3 linked regions of the Xenopus tropicalis genome follow. The main gene of each other region encodes a partner of the protein of the gene in region 3 in a complex. Links are inferred from orthologs where the notes say so. Each region holds a gene or a part of one and is shown on either strand. Other genes may lie near its edges.

Region 1 (3,651 bases), on a different chromosome or scaffold from region 3:
GGTGCAGCCTGTTGGATTGGGATGAATTCCCCTGTCTCCTCATCTAATTGCAGTTGGGCGTAGAGTGCTTTTTCCCGTTCCTTCTGCAGCTGCTCTTGCCGCTCCTTTTCAAGCTTCTTCTGTTTCTCCAATTCATTTTCCTTCTGTCTTTGGTTATAGTCGAAAACCTCACGGCTAACACCGAGGTCAATGTCTTGCTTCCAAAGAATATCAATCAGATCCATATCCTAGAAGAAGTCAAATACATGGGGTTTAATGTCCTGATACTTTTTGGATAATTGTTCAACCCCATGAAGCAGCTATGAAATCCAACACGACTGATAGTGGTAGGTTACATCTTCAACTGGGCTTGGATTAAGCTGATGTGGTAATCTTTCAAGAGGCAGGTGAACATTACCTTCTCATGGGAAGTTGTGACACTGCCAGGTTCACATGAACATTCACACCCATGGGAGCAGACCTAATCTCCAGCTATATGCTAGTAATGATGGAGCAATGTTGAATTCTTTGGAAATGCCTTGGTCGGGAATTGTCAAAGTTGTTGCTCTCCAAATGCCATCAACCCCCTAAAAGCTAATGTTTCCAGGACTTTGGCATTAATAAGCATACAGTTGACAAGGTATATAATTAACTGACAACCCTGGATGTAAAAAAACGTACTAATTCTCTACTAATGGGGCTTAATTCAGGAATCCACATCTAGAAAAGTAAAAGATATAAAATGGATAAAAACAATACTGCTATAGGGTTTGCCTAGAAGTATGCAGGAATCTAACTGAACATCTAAAAGGTTTAAGTATAGACACAGACATGCTTTGATGGTAGCACTAGTTCTAAACCATGGGGATGAAACCAGTTAGGGGGCCTGAGGCAGTGAGTGGAGGAAATGGGGCTTAAAAAAAAAAAAAAAAGATTTGGAAGTAAATTGTTTCTTGTTCTACATTTTCCTGGAAGCCCAGCCTGAGGAACCAAATTAATATTTTAGACTTAGGAACCATGGCAGGATGACAATGTGTTCATAAATCTGTATCTTAGTAAGGAGACAAGGGATGCTTGAACCTGTGAAAAACACTGGTCTATATCTAAATATTAGGGAACAACCATGATTTTTCCTATGTTTTAAATATCCAATTTTCGCTTAGAAATATCTTCACAGCCTATTTTAGGTAAATGTAGGCGAATCTGTCCCATTTCGCTTCGCCGAAAAATTTGCAAAACGGCGGAAATGTTGCACGTAAAAAAAAAATTGTCACCGCGGCTATTCTATTGTCGCCCGCGGCTATACTTTTGTCGCAGGCGACAATTTTTGGACGCTCTGCAAATTTTTCCCCGGCGAATGTTTTCATCCGTTTTGCGAAACAATCCGCCAATGGTGAAATGCATTTCGCCCATCACTACTGGATATCAGTCTGTTCATCAAGCAGGCAGGTTTGAAAATGTCATCTGCCAATGCATATCTGCCAGGGCACTGTGCATCAACAGATGAGAAACTGAAGAGGAGCCACAGCTCCTAAAGTATTGATAACTGCTTTAAGATTACAGCCCTGATGCTACTGCATTATGTCGTCCAACAGGCATGTACCAGTGTTATCTCTCCCTTTTAATTTGCACCCCTGGAAAAGAATTGATCTATAATCAATATCCTAAAAGTGTGCTGAAACCGTGTAGCCCTAATGTGTCTCTACATGAACCAACAAGCTGTCACCTTTGGCCATCGTCCCCCCATTGTGTCGAGCTCTGGGCACCATCAATTGGCCATTACCAAATACAGCAGTGCTGAAACCTTCTGTCAATACCACAGAGAGAGAATTTGGACTACATTTTGGTTGCAAGAAGCTCATTACCAAACTCACAATACGACATCTAGGCAGCAACCTACCCAGAAAAACAATGCACATTTATACACTAGTAGGGCTCATTTATTATTGGCCAGTAACCAACCACTTGATGACCTCCACTCTCTTCTACTGTGGATTCCACCACACAAGCATGTTCAGCAGCTGCTTGTGCTCAGTTTTCTGAAGTGGACACAAGTAAAGTAGTGCATGAGTCATTAAAAGCTCAAAACTATGCTCCTCTAGACCTAATTGGCAGCTTAATGGCCTCCTAATATCCTTCCTGACCTCTCTGAAAATCAGCCAGATTATCTATCAATTTAGCAATTTATCTAGAAAATCAGCATGTTAACAGTTTTCTTTCAATCGGTCTCCATTATGATGTAATCACTAGCCTGGGAGCCTAACAATCCGTAACTGACCTTGTGAGTTGGCGGCCACAGCAGGTAAATACCTGGTCTAGCAATTTCGCAGCACATGACCAGCATACAGGGCATTTTGACCACCACTGTGCTCAGGCAACAAGTATGGGAAATCCTCACAGATGAGGGTTGTAGAGCAGTGGTTTGTGTGCCATGGCATGTTAGGAATACATTGGTAGTGGTGACACATCCATACCAAGCACTTTGTTTTTCTCCTGGGCACTGCGGCAGTCAAAATGCGTTATTATTGTTAACCCAACAGTTTATAGGATATAGTTTTCAATGAAGAAAGGTGTAAACCATATGCATTGATGTGACTTGGGAGAGATTACATCATGGGCCAAATACAAAAGCAAGTGGAGGAATATAATAGGAGGGTTGGTTGGAAACCCAATACTAACACTGGCTCTTTCAATCTAGTTTATTCCTCCTGTAACAAGATAGGCTGGTAAATACAAATGAAAAGATACAGATTACAAGCACTTTAGCACATAGCAAGAGTTTAACAGACAAGATGGGTATGGCTGAACCAATGATCAGAACGTTAAAGTCCATATGTTAGTATTATCCATTGTTTTCATAGACATTATATTCATGGACCTACGCAGGTTTTGTTTAAAGAGAATTTAAACCCCCAAAAAATCACAATTTGCCTAATGAAATGAAGAATTATAAGCAACTTTCCATTGTACCATTATTCTAAATGCTCAATGGTTTTAAAACTATTTGGAAAAATAACTGTGTGCTTGGGGAAGACACACAGAGCTACTTAGTAGCAGCTATATTTTCACTTCTACTAAATACCAGAAATACCCTGCCATACCATACCATTGCCTCTGCTAAAACACACGTAGAGACAATTATCAGTAAATGATCAGCATTGTCTATTTTAGTAGGCGTGACAAGTAGCTGCTACTAGTATCTCTGTGTGTCTTACCTCTTAAAAGCAGTATCTGTTTGTACCTTGCTATTCTCTGCTCTGGTGGTTTTGACTTTTAAAACAATGTAGCACAAGACTGCCTACTAACAAACCTATGAAGGAGCATACAAAGCTGACTTTTTTTTTTTTTACACGTTTCTAGAGACAGAACTGGCAGTGCAGAAGGGGACACTAGTGCTGCTTTCAATTGTAGTTATATGTAGAAATAAAACTGACAAGAGTAACCGACATAGCAGGCTGCCCACGTATTACACATTTCATGAGCAGAATAAAGTTGCCTATCTGGACTGTTAATTATTTATCAACCAGCATTAATCATCAATGTCTTTATACAGGAAAAGCTTCTTTATTGCGATACTTTATTGACACTTTATTGGAGGAGGACTTTTATAATACTAACCCACACAATACTGCTAGCAGGCTGTATGACCAGACATACCAAAGCACCTCAATA
Region 2 (3,735 bases), on a different chromosome or scaffold from region 3:
CTTCTACAACTTCCTTCTCTTTTGCTTTTAAGTCCTACAAAAACAAGAAAGTTTTGGTTACAGGTCATGGTAATGGGCATTATTAGAACAGTAACTATAGGAAGAGCAATGTTTGCTGGCAAACAACACAAAGAGAACCAGCTGTACAGAGAAGTAACAGGCAGAGACAAGCATTAAGCACAACAGACATCTTATGAAGAGCAAAAAAACTTCTGATTTATGGTATAAACTTGATAAATCGATTAAGACTTGTTTTAGTAATTATTAAAAAAAAAAAAGTATACTGCATGTGAAACAGCAGCGGTACATTGTCTCTGGCTGCCTATAAATTGGGTTTGTAGTAAATGATAAAATATGATAAATTAAGGTATTTTCTGTATTTCATTCACAGCAAAATAATTGGGATCCTTAGCAATGTAACTATATGGTGTTTATTCTACCTATATTTGATACAGCACACTTATTTTTAATTGTACCTTCTACATGTAATGGAGAATCCCCCTGGCGTTAATATGGGGAATAAACAGGCATCTGAACGAACAAAAGACTTCCCCTGTACCTGCACGCACCATACGTAGTTTTAAAATTGGCGCCACCAGCTAGGTAAAGCAATTGGTTACATTACGGTACAAAGACCAACCCATGTCCATATCAGGGCATCCGGAGCAGCGCATTGGCCCGACACTAACATTTCCAGCCCCCATTTGGCGCAAAGTCACCTGGAACTTGTAGTTCTCTGGTTATTCTCTTTCAAAATTCCCTACTGCGACACGCCCGCTAGGGGAGGGAAGAGAAAGACTACGACACCCAAAAGGCAACACGTAGTGACGCGCACAAATGTATGCAGGGGGGGCGGTGACAAGCAAGAGAACGAGGGGGGACGGACGATGGAGGAGACGAAGACTCCATAATTCAATCGGTATATTACAACCAGCCGTCAGATATTTCCAGAGATTATATTTGCTTTAGCAAGGGGTTTATAAAACGACAGCTCGTATGCTAGATAGGAAGCTGCGAAGGCTGCGCAATAAAGCAGGTAGCCTGTAATGGTTTAGCAAGGTCTGTAATTAACCCTCCCCCACCTCCTAATTAAAGCCTCTGCCTTTAAAGTCTAATCCAGTTACCATCTGTCCCCCTGCGTTAGTCTCTGTAGGATAAATGACTCCCCAGAGGACTTGTGACGCCGGACGTGGTGGAGAACAGCGGGCTCAATACAAGCAAAGTGACCCATCTCCCAGCCCGGCATGATCCAGCTGTGTAACCCCCCCCCCCCCCTAATCTGTCAGGGGCACACAGGGAGCCGGGACATAGCAGCGCCACACTGGAAGACGAATTGTTTGCAGTACATAAAAGTAAAGGGCCAGTCCTACCTGCAATGAGCCCAGCCCTCACCTGCCCATAACACAGGGAAAGGGAGCTCTCCTACACGTGGGAGCCACACTGGGCTCTCGGAACCCTCAGAGCGGCGGAAGCAGAGTTTTGGCGAGAGCTGGGCGCAGGTGGGGCTCGGCATCAGCCAAGGCTATTTATGGCGGAGATTAGCCCGCACATCTCGCTGGAAGCCCGTGGTAATGACCTCCAAATGGGTCCGCTCCTTTAGAATGGGGGTGTAAAGCATTGGGCCCGCGGGCCGGACCCTTCATGAAACACACCCGGTCCCCAGTTGGCCCAGATGCTCTGTAGAGCTCGGTTACATGAAAAGCGTGCCCCACATACATCACGTAGCAGTAGATAAAAGCATAATCGGCCTCCTACACTGACAAAGTTGGGATGCCCTGTTGTACAGCGCGATTCCCCGATCTGTCGCTCAGCGAGCATTACACCTGCCATACATTGTTTCAGCCAAACGGCACCTGGGCTGGTACTGAGCGCCACATCCAGACCGCCGCCCCCGTAGCAAATCCTCCCCGCTTGGGTAGCCGAGCCTCACTCGCTTACATGGTACAGGCGGGAAGAACAGTGGCACCATCCAGCTAGCAAATTCCACCCCAAATACCCAGGGCTGAAGGGAAGCTTGGCAGCCCGCCCAGTGCCCGCCAGCCTCTCATATACAGAGACAGGGCGCTCGCTAGAAAGCGAATCGACTGGGACCAATAACCGTAGCCTATGGCAGCGCTAGGGGCAAGGGGACATCATGCAGGGTACAAGTGTCAGATAGGGTCGCAGCCTTCTACTGGGCGCTTCTATAACAAGCCAGGACAATAGGAGATCGGCAGAAGGGTCACACTAGCAGCTTCAATCGCACTGCCCCATCTTATCCACCTCCTCCAACCTCCCGCTCGTTTCTCACACTCACGGAGGTCCTTTAATGCATTGGAGCAAAATCTCCGGGACTAACCAGTGAAGAGGCTCCGGGGCTATGAAGTAACGCTGCCAAGTACCTAGAAACTTACAGATAGCAGTCTGAACTAGCAGCTAGTTGAGCAATGAAGCCCGGGGAAAGGCTGGAGATGGCACGTATGCGCCCAGGGTGCCACTCTGTATCAGGACCATGGCTAATCCCAGCAGGACGCCACACACGCAGCGCCTTTTAACTCGTTATCTGTAGGTACCGCACTGTCTAACCATTAACCGATTTCATTGCCACTACTAACTACTGCCGGTCCCTGCCATACAATAGATGGAGATCCGCGCTCAGATATTCCCACTGACAGACACTACTCCCCCGCCAACACAGTGACATTCATAGAGCCAGTGTGAGGGACATCGCGGGCTGAGCCGCTCTCATAACACCAACTGTGCCCACAAAATGCCCTCTCAGCGCTCAAACTCTCTCTTACCTTGGGGGTTTTCTCAACGCTGGCGTCCACTGCTGTGTCGGACATTCTTAATATAATAAAATAAGCTATATACAAAAAACCAAAGTAATTGTGCAGGTCCCGGGAGCTGGAAGCGAGTGTTACAGGAACAATGCAAAGATGGCTTTTTATTTCTTATAATGACTGCCAGTGAAGAGCTCACGCGGCGCCAGTCCTTTTAATATAGATCAGTGGGAGGGGCGTAAGACCGGCTTCTCGCCTTTCAATTGGCCAGACCTCCAAAGAAAGGAGAAAAAAAAATATACCGTTTGATTGGTCATTGCTCAAACAATGGGGGAGGGTGACTTGTTTTCTTTTCCATGGTTTAGCTGCAGTACCAGCTGTGGCCTGAACGCCACCGCTGTGGAAATCGCCGCATGCGCAAAAGGCTCCTCTATCGCCGCTATTGGCAAACCAATGCAAATGAAGAGGAGCGTTTTCCCCCACCCCTTGGAGGGAGGGGGGGTTTAGTACCGTGTGCAAAGCAAGGAGGTGGGGTACCCTTTCGATAAGGACTGCCCCTTTTACATTGTGAAACATGCCCCTAGGGCATTTACATACCCTCTGCCCAGCAAGCGATATAAACATGCCGACATAAGTCGCTATAGGCAACTAGCTTGTCATGTATAGTACTCCTGCTGAGCCAACGTGAATTCAATAAAGTTACATCAGGAGTTATTTGTACAGGTGAGAACCGAGCGATCCCACACTCACCTAATGTCAGAAAATCAGCCTCAGCTCCATAGCTATTCAATTATAGCGCCCAATAGTCTTCAACTGCTGGGGATACACAATGGGGGGGGGGGCGACGGCAAAGGTCGCAGGAGCTGTAGCGTATTTGAAGCAAGAGCGCCGCACGTTGGCCACCCATAGCATTCAGCGATAGCCTATTCCCATCTTGGCGCCAAATGTATCCTATAGGAACACCTTTGCGTTG
Region 3 (3,651 bases):
GCAAACGTAATTGCCGTGGAAAGCCGCATTTGCTGTTGGTTATGATTTTTAAACAATGTTGCAAAAGGCAGTCTCTTCCAGAATAGACAGGTCTGCCGGCTGGCTTTGTGCTACATTGTTTCAGAAGTCAGAACCAGCAGGGCAGACAATGGCCAATTCTCAGCAACTTTTCGACCGGTCTTCATTTTTTTATCTTTTAAAGTTTTTGAATTATTTGCATTCATTTACTGCCTTTGCTCGGCTTTCAACGGGGGTCACTGACCCCGGCAGCCAAAAGACTATTACTCTGCGAGGCTACAGTTTTATTGTTGTTACTTTTATTTAACTTATTGTTATTTTTACTTATTTGTTCTGTTCAGCTCCACTACTCTTCATATAGTGGTCGCTCTCTCAAACCTCTCCCTGGTTACTAAGGTGAAATGGACTCTAGCAACCAGATTGCAGCTGAAATGTGAAACTGGAGAGCTTTGGAACAAAAAGTTAAGTAACAAACAATAAAAAATGAAGACCAATTGGAAATTGTCTCGGAATATCACTCTCGACATCATACTAAACCTTTGAGGTAGTTTTTTAGTATGATGTAGAGAGTGATATTTCGAGACAATTTCCAATTGGTCTTCATTTTTTATTATTTAACTTTTTGTTTCAAAGCTCTCCAGTTTCACGTTTCAGCAGCTATCTGGTTGCTAGAGTCCATTTCACCTTAGTAACCAGGGAGAAGATTGAGAGAGTGACCAATATACGAATAGTAGTGAAGCTGAACAGAAACATAAGTTATTTAACTTTTTGTTCAGCAGTTCTCTAGTTTATAGTTTTAGCAGCTATCTGGTTGCTAGGGTGCCAATTTCCTTAGCAACCAGGGATTGGTTTGAATGAGAGACTGATACATGAGTAGGAGAAGGCCTGAATAGAAAAAAAAGTTATCAAAAGTAACAATAACAATAACATTTTAGCCTCACAGAGCAATAGTTTTTGGCTGCCGGGGTCTCTAGTCTCACATTTCAGCAGCTATCTGGTTGCTAGAGTCCATTTCACCTTAGTAACCAGGGAGAGGTTTGAGAGAGTGACCAATATATGAATAGTAGTGAAGCTGAACAGAAAAATAAGTTTTTTAACTTTTTGTCCAGCAGCTCTCTAGTTTATAGTTTTAGCAGCTATTTGGTTGCTAGGGTCCAAATTACCTTAGCAACCAGGGAGTGGTTTGAATTAGAGACTGATACATGAGTAGGAGAGGGCCTGAAAAGAAAAAAAAGTTATCAAAAGTAACAATAACAGTAAAATTGTAGCCTCACAGAGCAATAGTTTTTGGCTGCCGGAGTCAGTGACCCCCATTTGAAAGTTGGAAAGAAGACAGAAGAAGAAGGCAAATAATGCAAAAACTATATAGGCAGTTTATCTTTGGTGCGACTAGCATGGGAACTGCTGCTGCTGAACGTAGGAGCATAAAGGGTGCTCTATTAACCCAAAATGGCTGCATTAATGCAATATTTACACGCCGCGCAGTGTGCCAGGTAAACATGGGATGTGTGTAAAGCAGTCATAACTCTATGGCGTCACTCGTTCTGGCACATTCCCGGCTAATCACAAGCAGCTTTCAACTTCTCTTCCTTCTTCCTCTCCAGGTATCAAACAGAAAATGAACTAGAAGGGCTCCTATTTGATCCCACCGACTCACCGTAGCCCGGGTTTGCTCCAGCAACATGCTCAACCCCTAGGCAGAGACTTTTATTTTTCATTTGCTAACCCCCCCCGTTAACCAAACGACCGGGATGGATTAAATCACTCCTGACTAGAGAATCTGGACAAACTGATATGGATTAAGTATCCGTAATATTTTTTTTTTTTCTGCGTGAAATAATTTATTGGTCTTTTTGACACATTTTTTTTGCACAGTTAATTTATTTTTTTAAAATATTTTTTTTAAAGAAAAATGGCAATAGGTTTGTTTTGAAGAAATCTTTTTGCCCCCTAATGATGCCCCGTTAGGCGTTTCCGACGGCAGCAGGAATGTACGCGACAGAGTGCCAGGCGGAAGTGACGCCCTCGCACAGCAATGGCAACCGGCAGTTTCAGTATAGCCTGGCCGACCACACCAACCAGGCCTTCCAGATTATGAACGAGCTCCGGCTGGGGCAGCAACTGTGCGACGTCAAGCTGAAGGTCAAGTACAACGACGTCCAGGATGAGTTTGTGGCCCACAAGATTGTGCTGGCGTCCAGCAGCCCCGTGTTCCGCGCCATGTTTACCAATGGCCTCCGGGAGTGCGGCATGGAGACCGTTACCATAGAGGGGGTTCACCCTAAAGTCATGCAGCGGCTTTTGGAGTTTGCCTACACAGCTAGCATTTCCGTGGGAGAGAAGTGCGTCATCCACGTCATGAACGGCGCCGTCATGTACCAGATGGACAGCGTGGTCAAGGCCTGCTGCGACTTTCTCATCCAGCAGCTTGACCCGAGTAACGCCATCGGCATAGCCACCTTTGCGGAGCAGATCGGATGCCACGAGTTGCACCAGAAGGCGCGGGAATATATATACATGCAATTCGGGGAGGTGAGTCAAATAACTGTATCAGGGCTTTAAAGGGGAGGTACACCTTTAAGTTAACTTTTAGTATGTAAGCAACTTTTCAATTGGTCTTCATTATTTATTTTTTTTGTGCCCTGTTTACCTGGCACGTGGCGTGTAAATATTGCATTAATGCTGCCATTTTGGCTTGATAGAACACCCTTTAGGCTCCTAAGTTCAGCAGCAGCAGTTCCGATGCTAGTCGCACCAAAGATGAGCTGCCTGTATCGTTTTTGAATTATTTGTCTTATTCCTCTGTCTCTTTCCAAAAAAAAAAAGGGGGCTCACTGACCCCGGCAGCCCAAAAACATTGCTCTGTGAAGCTACAGTTTTATTGTTATTACTTTTTATAGCTTATTGTTCAATTCAGGCTGTCCCCTATTCATATATCAGTGTCTTATTGAAACCACTCCTTGGTTGCTAAGGTAATTTGGACCCTAGCAACCGAATAGCTGCTGAAACTATAAACTAGAGAGCTGCTGAACAAAAAGTTAACAAGTAATAAAAAAATGAAGACCAATTGCAAATTGTCTCAGAGTAAAAGTTAACTCAAAGGTGAGCAGCCCCTTTAACATTTGGCAGATCCACGTAGCGCTGTGGTTTCCGTTCTGTGCTTTCCCCAATGCTTATTCATGGTGTTGTGCAAGGCGCTGAGCTGTTTGACCTTGAGACGCGAATGATAGGACTGAGGTCTGAGAACATAGCGTGTTAATCATCTTCCACAGAGACGAAAAACAAAATGTTAGTGGGTACAGGTGGGGCAAGTGGGTCTCACTGTTTTTGTAGCAATGAATGCTGAGAATTGGGGTGCTCTTGGGTGCAATGGAGTGCTGTGTGAAGTAAAAAAAAAGTTTGTCTGGGACACCCTAGAATCTTGTCAGGCAAGTACTGTGGCTGTGGGATAGCAGGTATAGTAGGGAGAGATGGTGCCTATAGTAGCAGTGGGGGGATAATAGCCTCTGGGAAGGGACTGGGGCTGTGGGATAGCAGGTATAGTAGGGAGAGATGGTGCCTATAGTAGCAGTGGGGGGATAATAGCCTCTGGGAAGGGACTGGGGCTGTGGGATAGCAGGTATAGTAGGGAGA

What was found.
Region 1: the proteins of keap1 (region 3) and nfe2l2 are in contact, whole or in part, in a crystal structure (PDB 3WN7), measured with the Mus musculus proteins. The link is inferred for Xenopus tropicalis from reciprocal best matches to the Homo sapiens genes KEAP1 and NFE2L2. Residues at the interface, in NP_001103775.1 of Mus musculus: Tyr334, Ser363, Gly364, Arg380, Asn382, Pro384, Asp385, Gly386, Asn387, Asn414, Arg415, Ser431, Gly433, Cys434, His436, Ile461, Phe478, Gly480, Arg483, Ser508, Gly509, Tyr525, Gln530, Ser555, Ala556, Tyr572, Phe577, Ser602, Gly603; in NP_035032.1 of Mus musculus: Leu19, Ile22, Leu23, Arg25, Gln26, Asp27, Ile28, Asp29, Leu30, Gly31, Val32, Val36, Phe37, Phe39.
Region 2: the proteins of keap1 (region 3) and ptma are in contact, whole or in part, in a crystal structure (PDB 2Z32), measured with the Mus musculus proteins. The link is inferred for Xenopus tropicalis from reciprocal best matches to the Homo sapiens genes KEAP1 and PTMA. Residues at the interface, in NP_001103775.1 of Mus musculus: Tyr334, Ser363, Arg380, Asn382, Arg415, Phe478, Arg483, Ser508, Gly509, Tyr525, Gln530, Ser555, Ala556, Tyr572, Gly574, Phe577, Ser602; in NP_032998.1 of Mus musculus: Gln40, Asn41, Glu42, Glu43, Asn44, Gly45, Glu46, Gln47.

The regions. Positions count from the first base shown.
Region 1 is NC_030685.2:65,687,008-65,690,658, forward strand, and holds part of nfe2l2 (nuclear factor erythroid 2-related factor 2), read right to left. Parts: intron 228-3,651; coding exon 1-227.
Region 2 is NC_030681.2:101,064,768-101,068,502, forward strand, and holds the start of ptma (prothymosin alpha), read right to left. Parts: upstream 2,935-3,735; 5' UTR 2,826-2,934; coding exon 2,781-2,825; intron 35-2,780; coding exon 1-34.
Region 3 is NC_030679.2:138,051,028-138,054,678, reverse strand, and holds part of keap1 (kelch-like ECH-associated protein 1), read left to right. Parts: intron 1-1,622; 5' UTR 1,623-2,007; coding exon 2,008-2,550; intron 2,551-3,651. UniProt on the Homo sapiens protein: Substrate-specific adapter of a BCR (BTB-CUL3-RBX1) E3 ubiquitin ligase complex that regulates the response to oxidative stress by targeting NFE2L2/NRF2 for ubiquitination.